3 linked regions of the Xenopus tropicalis genome follow. The protein of the gene in region 1 interacts with the protein of each later gene in a biochemical or structural test. Links are inferred from orthologs where the notes say so. Each region holds a gene or a part of one and is shown in the gene's direction. Other genes may lie near its edges.

Evidence for each region.
Region 2: the proteins of pias1 (region 1) and satb1 form a complex in vitro, tested with the Homo sapiens proteins (2 studies listed by BioGRID, with this or other methods). The link is inferred for Xenopus tropicalis from reciprocal best matches to the Homo sapiens genes PIAS1 and SATB1.
Region 3: the proteins of pias1 (region 1) and sumo1 form a complex in vitro, tested with the Homo sapiens proteins (6 studies listed by BioGRID and IntAct, with this or other methods). The link is inferred for Xenopus tropicalis from reciprocal best matches to the Homo sapiens genes PIAS1 and SUMO1.

What each region holds. Positions count from the first base shown.
Region 1 is NC_030679.2:117,659,455-117,663,578, forward strand, and holds the start of pias1 (E3 SUMO-protein ligase PIAS1), read left to right. Parts: upstream 1-1,244; 5' UTR 1,245-1,323; coding exon 1,324-1,347; intron 1,348-1,370; exon of another isoform or gene 1,371-1,488; intron 1,489-1,963; exon of another isoform or gene 1,964-2,104; intron 2,105-4,124. UniProt on the Homo sapiens protein: Functions as an E3-type small ubiquitin-like modifier (SUMO) ligase, stabilizing the interaction between UBE2I and the substrate, and as a SUMO-tethering factor. Catalyzes sumoylation of various proteins, such as CEBPB, MRE11, MTA1, PTK2 and PML.
Region 2 is NC_030682.2:45,056,485-45,060,138, reverse strand, and holds part of satb1 (DNA-binding protein SATB1), read left to right. Parts: intron 1-192; coding exon 193-304; intron 305-3,600; coding exon 3,601-3,654. UniProt on the Homo sapiens protein: Crucial silencing factor contributing to the initiation of X inactivation mediated by Xist RNA that occurs during embryogenesis and in lymphoma.
Region 3 is NC_030685.2:52,305,990-52,309,643, reverse strand, and holds part of sumo1 (small ubiquitin-related modifier 1 precursor), read left to right. Parts: intron 1-805; coding exon 806-883; intron 884-3,273; coding exon 3,274-3,345; intron 3,346-3,654. UniProt on the Homo sapiens protein: Ubiquitin-like protein that can be covalently attached to proteins as a monomer or a lysine-linked polymer.

The sequences.
Region 1 (4,124 bases):
CTTTGATTCATTGTGTGTAATTTAATAAGATATATAGGAACCTGGAATAGACACAGGGCTTGAGGAGGGTAGTGTTGTGCCTACACATGCAAATGACTGTAGTGGATCACACCTTAATGCATGTGCAGTGTAGCGGTACAATAAAAAGTACCTAGGTCCAGTGCATTTTTTAGAGAAGAAGAACACTGGCCATGGGGTCCTAGGTTAGAGTTACTGGTGGGTGACCAGTTTTTTTACCCCCCAGTCAGTTTGGCTTTCTTGTCTTTCAAGGCTTGGGGCACACTGGCATATTGTCTGCTGTTGCAGAAGTGTTTGATCATTTCCATTTGTCTTGTCTATAGCAGAGACAGACAGATTTTGTCTAGAAACAATTTTCTGGTCAAGCTCTGCCTGCAACCAGCAGTTCCATTCAATATCTATGAACTGAGTGACGGGCAGAATGGTCACAATCTAACCAGTGAGGAATAAACCCCTGTGCCATAGGCCAATTGGTGTGTCTGGGCAAGCCGACAAGCCACACAGGCTCCAGCTTGTACAGTGTATATATCTAACAACAATAGCTATTAGTGGGAGGAAGGACTACCAGAGAGGTAATAGAGGCACTTGGACACAATTAATGTGTGTCACCAATTGTGACAATGAGCAATGAGTGGCTTTTTTGGTGCTTCTACTGAGGCAAAATCTAGCAACACACCTTCTCCCAGGAGGCACCTATGTTAAAGAACTGTAAGCAATGATGGACAAAATTTTTTAATACGTCAGCCTTCAAGTTAAAATAAGACAAAAATGTCTCACTTTTGCTTTGGAGGACTCGTATTGTGTAAACTCCCTAAACGCGATGCTTGGGCCTGATACAGGAACACAGGATGGGGTATATTAATCATGTTATGCAAAAAGTGGAGTGATGCATTACCTGTGATGTTGCCCAGGGCAACCAATCAGCTATTAGATTTCAAGTTTCAAGAACACCAAAGCAAAACATCTCAATGGCTGCTATGAGCAACATCACCAGTAATGATTCACTCCACTTTTTACACAGCATGATAAATATAAGTATAGTCTATTCCACCAATCTACCTAGCCTTTGTGTTACCGACAGCACTTAGGCTAGCTATAGGACCGCAACACTTTCCCCGCAAAAAGAGGGGCTAATGTGAGCCGCACCGTATCCCCTCTTCTTCCCCACCCGAATGCAGCACCGCTCTTATACAACTCGCAGCTTATGCAATTGGCGCCTTTTTTCGAATCCTGCGTAGTGACGCAACGAGTCGCGTCCGAGCCACGTCGCGGCGGGTTCATTACGCCTGCGCGCAAAGCAGCAAGATGGCGGACAGTGCGGAACTGAAGGTAAAGCGCAGCTGGAATTGCGGGACCGGGATTGCGGTCTCCGCTATGTATTGGCAATTGGGAGGTCGGGTGTGTTGAAGCGAATGGCCGGGGGAACTCGCAGAAGCGGCTCCCGGAAGCAGAGGGAGTTATGTTGCATGTGTAAGGCAGAGGGGCCCTTGTTATTGTTGGTGCTGCCCGGGTGGAGGGGGCTGGTGAGGGCATGTTGGTTAGGCTGGTAGGAGGGCGAGGGTCCTGATGCACACACGGAGCGAGGGAATGTGAGCGGCGGCAGCCCGGGCAGGGCGCACGGTAGGGGCTGCTGGGAGCTCTCCCAAGGGATGAGTGAGAGGAAGATGCTCCTACTTGGTACTTGGTCTCTTTAATAAGCGATGTTGCGCGTCTCCTGTTGCTGCCCGACCCCCCAATCCATCACTACTGACAAGCGGCTGTCAGGGGATGTGCGATACTTTAATGAAAGGAAGTTTCTGCGCCGTGTGGACTTTATTCCGCTTCATTCGGGGATCTGTCGGCTCCAGGATACTTTATCGCACACAGTCCTGCCCGCTAAGCCCGGCGTAATGACGGGGGGGGGGGGGCTGTCAGGGTTGCCAAGCAACAGTTCTCATTTAATAACATTTCTCGGGGATGGATTCCTATCTTGTGCTGACAAATAAGCAGCGTTTATTCGGGATCTTAAAAACGTTTGGCTTGATGTTCACTTTGCAGAGTCCCGGGTTGAGCTGCTTGTTTCGGCTGATTCATACAGAGATCTGGGGTGCGTGTGAGGTGCTTCTATTTCTTATAAAATTGCTGTTTATTTTACGTTTATTTTACATGTCCCTATCTCCTGTCACCATGCTCAGGGATCCTCTGTGCCTGCTACCCTTCCGCTAACTCCCCTCCCCCACTCGCCTCCCCTCCCCCACCCTTCCTCTGCATGGCCCTGTCTCTCTCCCCAGACATCATGTTGCTCTGCTGATTGATAGGAAGTGATAGTACCTGGTGGGCTTGCATCCCTTGTAGAGCTGATAGAGGGGCTTCACAGAATGCTTTCTCCTCCAAGTTTCCCCTCTATGCATTGGGCACCGCTTGCAGCAAACTTTCTTCCTGCTGTACCATCTTCTCTTAACTGGGAGCCTGTGTGCTGTCTGATAAACACACAGATGTGCTGTACCGTAACTTGCATCTCTCAAAAATCCACTGTATTGGGATTCGGCTGATCCCCCAAATATTTCATGAAAGAATACTAAACCGAATCCTAACTTGCCTATGAAAATGAAGGCACAGAAGGTGTAAAAACAACCGCACGTGGTGAAAAATGTTCAACTTCAGCTTTTATATGGTGAAAAGTCACATAATTTGAAGGATTTGTTTTAGCCAGGCCCACAGATTCGGCTCAATCTTGAAGAAAAAGCCGGAATCTTGGCCGAATCTGGAACCAAATCCTGGATTCTGTGCATCCCTAGTCTGAGGCAAGGAGTTGTCATTTTATTGACTTTGGTATATCAAGGCTATGCATTAGTACTGTTGTACTATAGTAAGTGCTTAAGAATAGCCTGTTGCACCTGTATATATTCAGTGTACTTTGTAATTTTAATTGTGTAATTCATATATTTATACATTGTAATGTATGCATTTTAGATTGTGAGATATTGTAAGATATAACAGGCAGAGCCTTCTTTACCTAATGAATCAGTCAGTAATTGTGTGATTAATGTGTATACCCTCTCCAGACAGGAGTGAGCTGCATTGAAGCACACAGACCCACAGTATAATCCAATTGCTGGCCTGTCAGGCTGCTTTGATACTATGAATCAGTGGGCAAATTTGGCAGGCTATGTTCTGCTCTGTATCTGAAAGCCTGACAGGCTAAAGCTGAGCAAAGAATGGGGTTTGTTTACACAGAAGGCTTTCCAGTGGTGTGCTGACTTGTTTTGATTGTGCATGTAGGTATCAGGAATTAGAACACGCTTTTCATTTTTAAATTTTGCCCTGTGTAGCGTAGGAATATAAGATGATGGTATTTGCTGCCCCTTTTGAATGCATGGCTAGTTTTTATACTTTTCTCTGCAATTTAAGATGGCCATGATGACATTGAGGTGGACAATATCAGGCTGATAGCTTGGCCCTCGGCCCAACAATTGGGTCATAATTGTCACCATGTAGGCAGTCGAATAGAGGACCCAGTCAACCCACAGATGTGGCCTTCAATCCTATGGGGAAATCAAACCTACCTGATTGACATATTGCCTGATTTTTGTCCAGATATCGGTTGAGTAGGCCCTGTCGTGGGGACCCCATACATGGGTGGATAAGCTGCTTATCCTGCTTGTCTGCTAAATTGGTGGGCATTAACTGGCATGATTCTACCATTTGAGGACACGATGTATGCTGCAATGTTTGGTCTGACCAAGCTAATAACTTTCATTAACCTCTATAGCTGTGCATGGAAAGCTCGCATACAAGTAATTATGTGCAAGTACTAAGTAGGGCCTGATTCTGACTGCAGTTCTGCCTCTGAAACAATAACATGACTAATATACTGGTGCTTATAAACAATCTGACATAAGTAGATGAATATATGCAGGAGGACTTAGGTATTGTTGTTCTAAACATTAAGAAATGCCTTGTGCATACTTGAGGAATTAGTTACAATGAGGAAATGAAGCATGGGCATAGTGACTATTCATCAGATGCTCATGGCACTAACATCATATTGTAATTATATGTTGGTAGTCCATTATGTATGCTGATATTTGGATTCTATATTTATGACTGTACTATTTTTGTCCAGC
Region 2 (3,654 bases), on another chromosome or scaffold:
TGATTTCAAATTAATAAAATCTGTCTTGGGATTTCAAATTTCATCTTTACAACATTTAGATTTTACTGCAGGAAATGTTATTTTGGCATTTTTTTGCTAAAGTCAGCCTCTAATAAGTGATATTGTGTTACAGCGCTTGCTTTACATTGTTACAGATTGTTTGATATAATTTCTTTTTTCCTTTTCTTTTAGAGTATGATTTCTTCCATTGTGAACAGCACTTACTATGCAAATGTTTCAGCAGCAAAATGTCAAGAATTTGGAAGGTGGTATAAACATTTCAAGAAGACAAAAGAGATGATGGGTAAGCAATAGAAAACTTGCTGAAAGGATTGCTTCGCCATTACTTACAATATTGTCAATCACAGTTGAACGGTTAGGATTGCTTTTGTTGTCCAATTATAAACCGTTCTTGTCTTTCTTTTTACAAAATTGCCTTTAATGAAGATATTGATAGGTCATATAATCTTGCAAAAGATTTTTTGTCGAGTGTAGGTAGAACAAGCAAGTCATACCCGCCCCTTGTTTATATGAATAAATGAGAGAGAAAGAGACATATGATGAAAAATGTCATTTTAGGGTAACTCTTGTAAATGTATGAAGAAAATCTGCCAACTATATTTTTAAAAATGATGAGCAATATTATTTTTCATTCTTTGCGATCTAGTATGTATATAGCAATACAGGTATGGGATCCATTCTGCAGAAACCTGTTCTCAAAAAGCTACAAATTATGGGAAGGTTATCTCCCATAGACTCCGTTTTAAATAAATCACATTTTTAAAAATGATTTCCATTTTCCCTGTAATAATAAAACAGTACCTCATACTTGATTCCAACTAAGATACAATTAATCCTTATTGGAGGCAAAACAATGCTATTGGGGTTATTTAAATAATTTTATAGAATGAGGATCTAAATTAAAGAAAGACCCCTTATCTGTAAAACTCCATATTCCAAGTATTCTGGATAATACTGGTATTTTGCTCATCCTTTTCCATGTTGCATTGCATTTATAATGAAAGAAAATGTTTTACTAAGCACTCTTAAAATGTATTAAATATTTTAATGGTTTAAAAGGTAAATGTAATTGCAGTTGAAATCAGTGGGGTTTTTTTTTCCCTGTTCTCTGGGCCTGAATCTTAAACAGTGTAACCAAAGTCAGGGATTGTTTCAGGGGTTGTTGACGCCTGCTCTCAATCTACTTCACTTTTTCTTAAAGTGAAAGGGGGAAGTATTCTGTGGCAAACAGATGTAGGGGACCTTTCACTTACCTTTACTGTATAGTGGAGAGTTGCTTAGGATTACATTTTCTTTCACTGTGCAAAAAAAAACAAAAACATTTGGGTGGGAAAATATTTGTATTTCGGTATTGTATGTATTTCTATGCCTCTACTATATTTTGATATAAGTTGATATTTTGATACAAATTGAACAGTGTAACAGAGTGTCTTAGCTGACAGTGGTAATCTAGAACCAAAAAGCTACTATTTTAACATGAATTGAGTTATGTAATATAAGAAACAGTGGAGGTCATTTATAAACAGTGGGCAAATTTGCACCTTGTCAGAAACTCATGGCAATGAATCAGATGATTGCTTTTAGTGTTCAACGTACAGCTGCCTGGAAAAATCTAACCACTGTTGGTTGCTATGAGTTACTGCCCAGGTGCAAATTTGCCCAGTGTTTGGAAATGACCCCCCACTAAGTTTGCCCAGGAGCATTAACCAATACCTGTTTAAAACAACTATCAACAGTTGGTATGGGTTACTTCACATAAGTGGCATTTATTGCACATGTGGGTTAGCCTGTTAAAGGTAAAAATTGCACCCAACAACATTGAATCTGTTTTACAAAAATGTTTTAGTAAAGTTTTTAAAATATTATAGTGTTACCTCCTGCTGCCAACAACTTAAATGTGCTCTCCGAGTCTCACAGCATTAATGAGTTTGCAGCAGGAAAAAAAACTGAAAAGGCTGAGGGTTATAACATTAAAGAAATATGAAAGCGAGATAAAAAAATTATTTGTGAATCAGCATATTTAAACATTTGCTACCATTCAGTAAATTTTTCTTTTCGCTATTTTTTCAGACATTTTGGATTTTCCAGTTTTCATTTTTCAAATAGACCAGGAGCCCCCCCCCCCCTTGAGAATTTATTATTTACAGAATAGATGTTAAGCAAAATAAGCAACTGTTACCCCAGTGTGGAAGCGCTTTCATGCTGTGGTGATGGGGTGACTTTTTAGAACCCTGCTCCGGCAATGAAAATTTTAGTTTCACTGTCCAAAAAAGGAGGTCCAGGGTTGGAAGTGCTGTGTTATGTTCAGTCTTCTTCTCTTTAACAGATGTATTAGAACAGTAAAAAAAATAGTGGGTCTGGGGGGAAGGTGGAGATTTGTTTTTTCCTAAAATGTCTTTATAAAAAAAACAAATACTAAAGTATGCAGACCTTGTCAAAATATGGATGTTTTTGTAAAAAAATCTGCTCATAGTAATTAGGTTCAATAATGTAAGGGCAATAATGTAAACTTTTTTTCAAACCATATTAAGGCTCAGGCTCTTTATCTTGTTACATTACCAAAAAAACTTTAATTTAACTATTTTTTTAAAAACTTTTATATGAGTGAAAATGTTAATAAAACTCATCTTTGGTTTAGATTAAAATTCAGACAAAGGAGCTTGCAGATATAGTTGAAAAATGAGGTGTTTATATGTAAAGGGTACCTGGCCTGACAATTAGTCATGATTCTTTTATAGAATAGATCCACTAATTTCAGCTTGAAAGAACTCAAATAGTCTTGTATAAAATTATCCTTATCCCATAGGCCTGTAGAAATATACTGTTTCAACTTTTTTTTTCAACTTTATTATATGTATGATGAGGCATAATATATTGTCCTTGGTAATAAAGCACAATTGGCAAATAGTTTCTTATAATATTTAAACTAATACATGAAACTCATATGCCTTTACTAATAATTTTGTATTTTTGTATCTTGGTATAGAAACAGAATTCACTTTTTTATCTATCTAAACTTCCTTCTTTCCCCCACTTATGGTTAGTTTTAGTTTGAAGTATTTTATTTTCAATATAGGTTGAACTTTGTCCTTGCAAATATCCCACAGCAGAATTAATCAGATATACCACTTGATGCCAAATCTATTTTCAAACTGGCTCATCAGTTATCTGAACTTTTCAAATACAAGGTCAGTGCTGTATTAATGCAATGACCCTACAGCCATTTAAGAAAATTATTTCTCTTAATGTGCCAGATGCCAAAATTAAGTCAAATTTTGTGTCTAATAAAATCCTGCATAATTTGTTTATCATGTCTAAAGCAGCATTGCAGTAGTCTGGCTGGATAATAATTACCCAGTAGCTTTGGGATCAGTTTTGTGTTTTTCCATGTACCCCTTCTTTTTTAAACAGGAATTATTCAATGTACTTTTAAGATAATTGAAAATTAATTAACATTAACACAGCACTTTGTATTGCTAATATCTATAAAAAACAGTTATTTATTTCATTGGAATCTTCTTTTTTTAAAAAAATTTTTGTATTTATTAAAACATAACTTTTTTTTTTCTACTTCTATAGTGGATATTGAAGAATTATCAGAACGCTCTCAACAAAGTAGCAATCATGTAAACT
Region 3 (3,654 bases), on another chromosome or scaffold:
TATTTTGGCACCCCCAAGTGACTTAGCCTTTCCTTCTCCTTTAAGGCAGTTGGAGGTAGGGGCTAGGAAGATTGACCTCTTCTCCATTTTTCGGATTGGCATGCAACACTAAATTTTATTTCTTGTGGCTATCACTTCTGCCTGCAGAGTTGGGGAAATCCACTCTGTGAAGTGAGCCTGTTCTCAGATAAAGTTGTTTTGAAAACCCGCTTTCAATTTCCTGCATTAGATTGTGTCACAGTTTCACCTTGTTTTGGAAATAGCATTTCCTTCTTTTTGCCAAAATTCTGAGCAGGAGCGGAGATGGCAATACCTTGGATTTATTACGCATTGTGCTCTCTTATCAACTGGCAGGCAGAGAGGTACCACATAACCTGAAAGCTCATTCTATTAGAGCATTGGCTACTAAGTTGGGAAGGAAGATCCTGCAATCTGTTGTTTATTCAAAATAAATTTTGTTGAGCATTAGTGTTGTCCCACCCCTCTTACTAGGGTAGTTCTCATAAATCGCTGTAATTTCAATTTCCAAGTTACCTTCCATGGCAGCATTCACTGACCTTCCTCTCTTCTGTCGCTGAGATTCAAAGACAAGCAGAGACAGGCAAAGGGATGTACTTATAGAATTAACCTTTTCCTGTCCAGTGACCTGAGAGGCAAGATTACTCATGTTGGTGAATGCTGCCATGGAAGGTGACTTGGAAATTACAGGAAATATGAAATATTTCTCTATGTTTGCACCATAAATCAGTAGAATGTTTCCCAGTAGTGAATGAAAATTTAAACCATGTAAATATTTTGTTCACAGGATAGCAGTGAAATTCACTTTAAGGTAAAGATGACAACGCATCTCAAAAAGCTGAAAGAGTCATACTGTCAGAGACAGGTAAGTAGAAATTTGTTGAATTTGTCTTTTTAAATAAGGTTTGTAAGTAAACCGGCTATTAATGCCAGGGAATTAAAATGTTAAACATGTATGAAGACACATATGAAGTAGCAGATTTATCAAAGGTTTGTGAACCACTTTAGATGATTTACAGTAGGCAGTGTACTGTTTATATTAGTAAGTCTATACCACATATATGAAAAAATACAGTTATGAAACTGGCAAATGAAGGGCTGCATTTATCTTTGCAAAACACATTTTCATAAAGGAAACATTAACATAGTATGCATACTGTAACTTTAATTTTAGCTTTTTTTTTTTTTTTTCAAATAGAATCAATTATTTGCAGTGAGAACAGTGTAATATAGTAATAAAAACTATACCATAAAAATCATGACCAAAATCTACCATTTATAAATGTACTTGATACAGGTACAGGGGACTATGTATAAAGTGTTGTAATTTCTACATTCTACATACAAATGTATGCAAATAACTTTAAATTAAAGTCTGCAATGTGTACTTTAATCACGTATGAATTGTTTGAATTAAAATTTCACAATAAGGAGCAGAGGGGTAAATCAAAGAATAATGTCTTTGTCCCAAGCATGGAGGGCATTTCATTTTCCCTCACTTTGGAGTAAAAAGCCTGCTCTATATATAATAGGCCCTTACTTTCTCCTTTTTGCATTGCCATTTGATATTTTTGTGTCCCTCCCAACCAGCAACAATTAACTATTAATGTACTGTAATAACTCTGTTGCCACCATTTTGAGTTCTGTGGAATTCCTAAAATACATTGTTTCGTAAACAATGTGACCTATATAATAAAGATGAGCCTTGGAAAGCAAACAGCAACTGAACACACTACCAAATGTACTACCACTACATACTGTATTATTAACAATGTTAAAGGTCTGACAAGTCAATACATTTTTATTGTTATGTAACAAATTCAAATAAAACCCTTTTTTTAAAAAGGGTACTGCATTGGTTTCTGCTGGAAGAGAACTTTACCATCAGATTTACTGTGTAAATAATGGCTATGTTGTTCCATTCAGGCATGGGGCTGATTATCTAGAATGCCTTGGGTTTTCCCTTGTGTTTCCTTATACCCTAAAAACAAGTACTAGCTGCAGTTTTAGATTAAAAAAAAAAGCTTAGTTGTACACCAACTAAATGTAATGTCCATGTTAATACAATTAAAAATTGTTCAGAACATATCAGTAAGTTTTAACCACTGTGTTTTTAACAAAGTGGTTACAGTGGCTTGTGTCACAAGTACAGGTATGGGATCCCTTATCCAGAAACCCGTTATCCAGAAAATTCTGAATTACGGAAAGGCCATCTCCCATAGACCTCCTTCTTAGTGTCAAAACAAGCCTATTGGGTTTGTTCAATATTTAAATGATTTTTAGCTGACTTTTTGGAGATCCAAATTACGGAAAGATCCCTTATCCGGAAAACACCAGGTCCCGAGCATTCTGGATAACCGCTCTTATACCTGTATATTATATTCCCAGCAGTGTGCAGCTACCAAATGTGTGCCTCCTTATATATGGGCTTTTTCAGATGGGGTTTTTTGCCTTCCTCTGGATCAACTTGTAGTTAGGCAGGTTAGGTATAGGCATTATGGTTGAACTTGATGGACGTATGTCTTTTTTCAACCCAACTTACTATGTTACTATGTAACAATAGCACTGATTTTACTGTAGTGCTCTTTTCAGCAACCACTTCATGGCATCTGTTGCAATTTACTAAAGCTGAAGAATTTCTTGTTTGATATTCCTTGGGGCATGAAGGTCCCTTGACGTCCATTTAGGTGACACTTCATCAGTTTTTCAACTAGTAGCTCCAGCATCCCTGGCTGTCAGGAAAGCCTAAGAACTGTTGAAGGGCCATACCTTAGATATATTTGACTGAGCCCTGTGCAGTGAGCTCATTTGCGCATGTTTACAACCCTTTTAGTGCAGTAGATTATAGAATCTACTGCTCTGGCTTTCTGTTTCTTGAGTTGGAAATGTTGTTCTCTTTCCGGTGGGAAAACCATGTGGTCTAGCTATGGTCTCGCACATTAAAGATAAGGCCAGCACATACTATGTTAATGCACAGGGTTGAAAACTGGTTGTTCTGCTGCAGAAAATGCTATCTCTCCCTTTCAGTGGCAACAATTTTAAGATACACCAGTGGTTCACTTAAAGAACTACATGTATCTGTATGTGGATAAGCTGAACAATATTAAGACAAGGCGAAAATACCAATACTGTTCCTGTACCCAGTAAACCATGTCAAGAATTGTAACACTAATAATTTGTAGTTTATGGAATGTTTTGGGCATAATTTGGTAGGTTTACATTAATTCTTGACTATGCACTTTCTCCACTTTTTAGGGTGTTCCAATGAATTCTCTCAGGTTTTTGTTTGAAGGGCAAAGAATCTCAGATCACCAGACTCCTAAGGAGGTAAGTTGTCAGTCTGTATGGCTTCATGACCCCCTCTTTTCATTGCAGGTAATGATAACCTTCTTGGTCAGTTGCTTGATGTGACTTTAGGGGGTAGGTTTGCAAGCTAACAATCAGTTGGGCCAATAATATTTAAACAAGAAAGACTGGTGGACCCCCTCCCCAGACTGGTGCTTTGGCCCAGTTCAGGTCTGGTATAGTTAATCTTCTCCATCTCTTGTCCAGTGGTATGGTCTGTCCCCCCCCCCCCCTCCACTACTTTCAAGTGGTACGGTCCCTCTTTCCACCAATGTCAATCTATCGACTGTA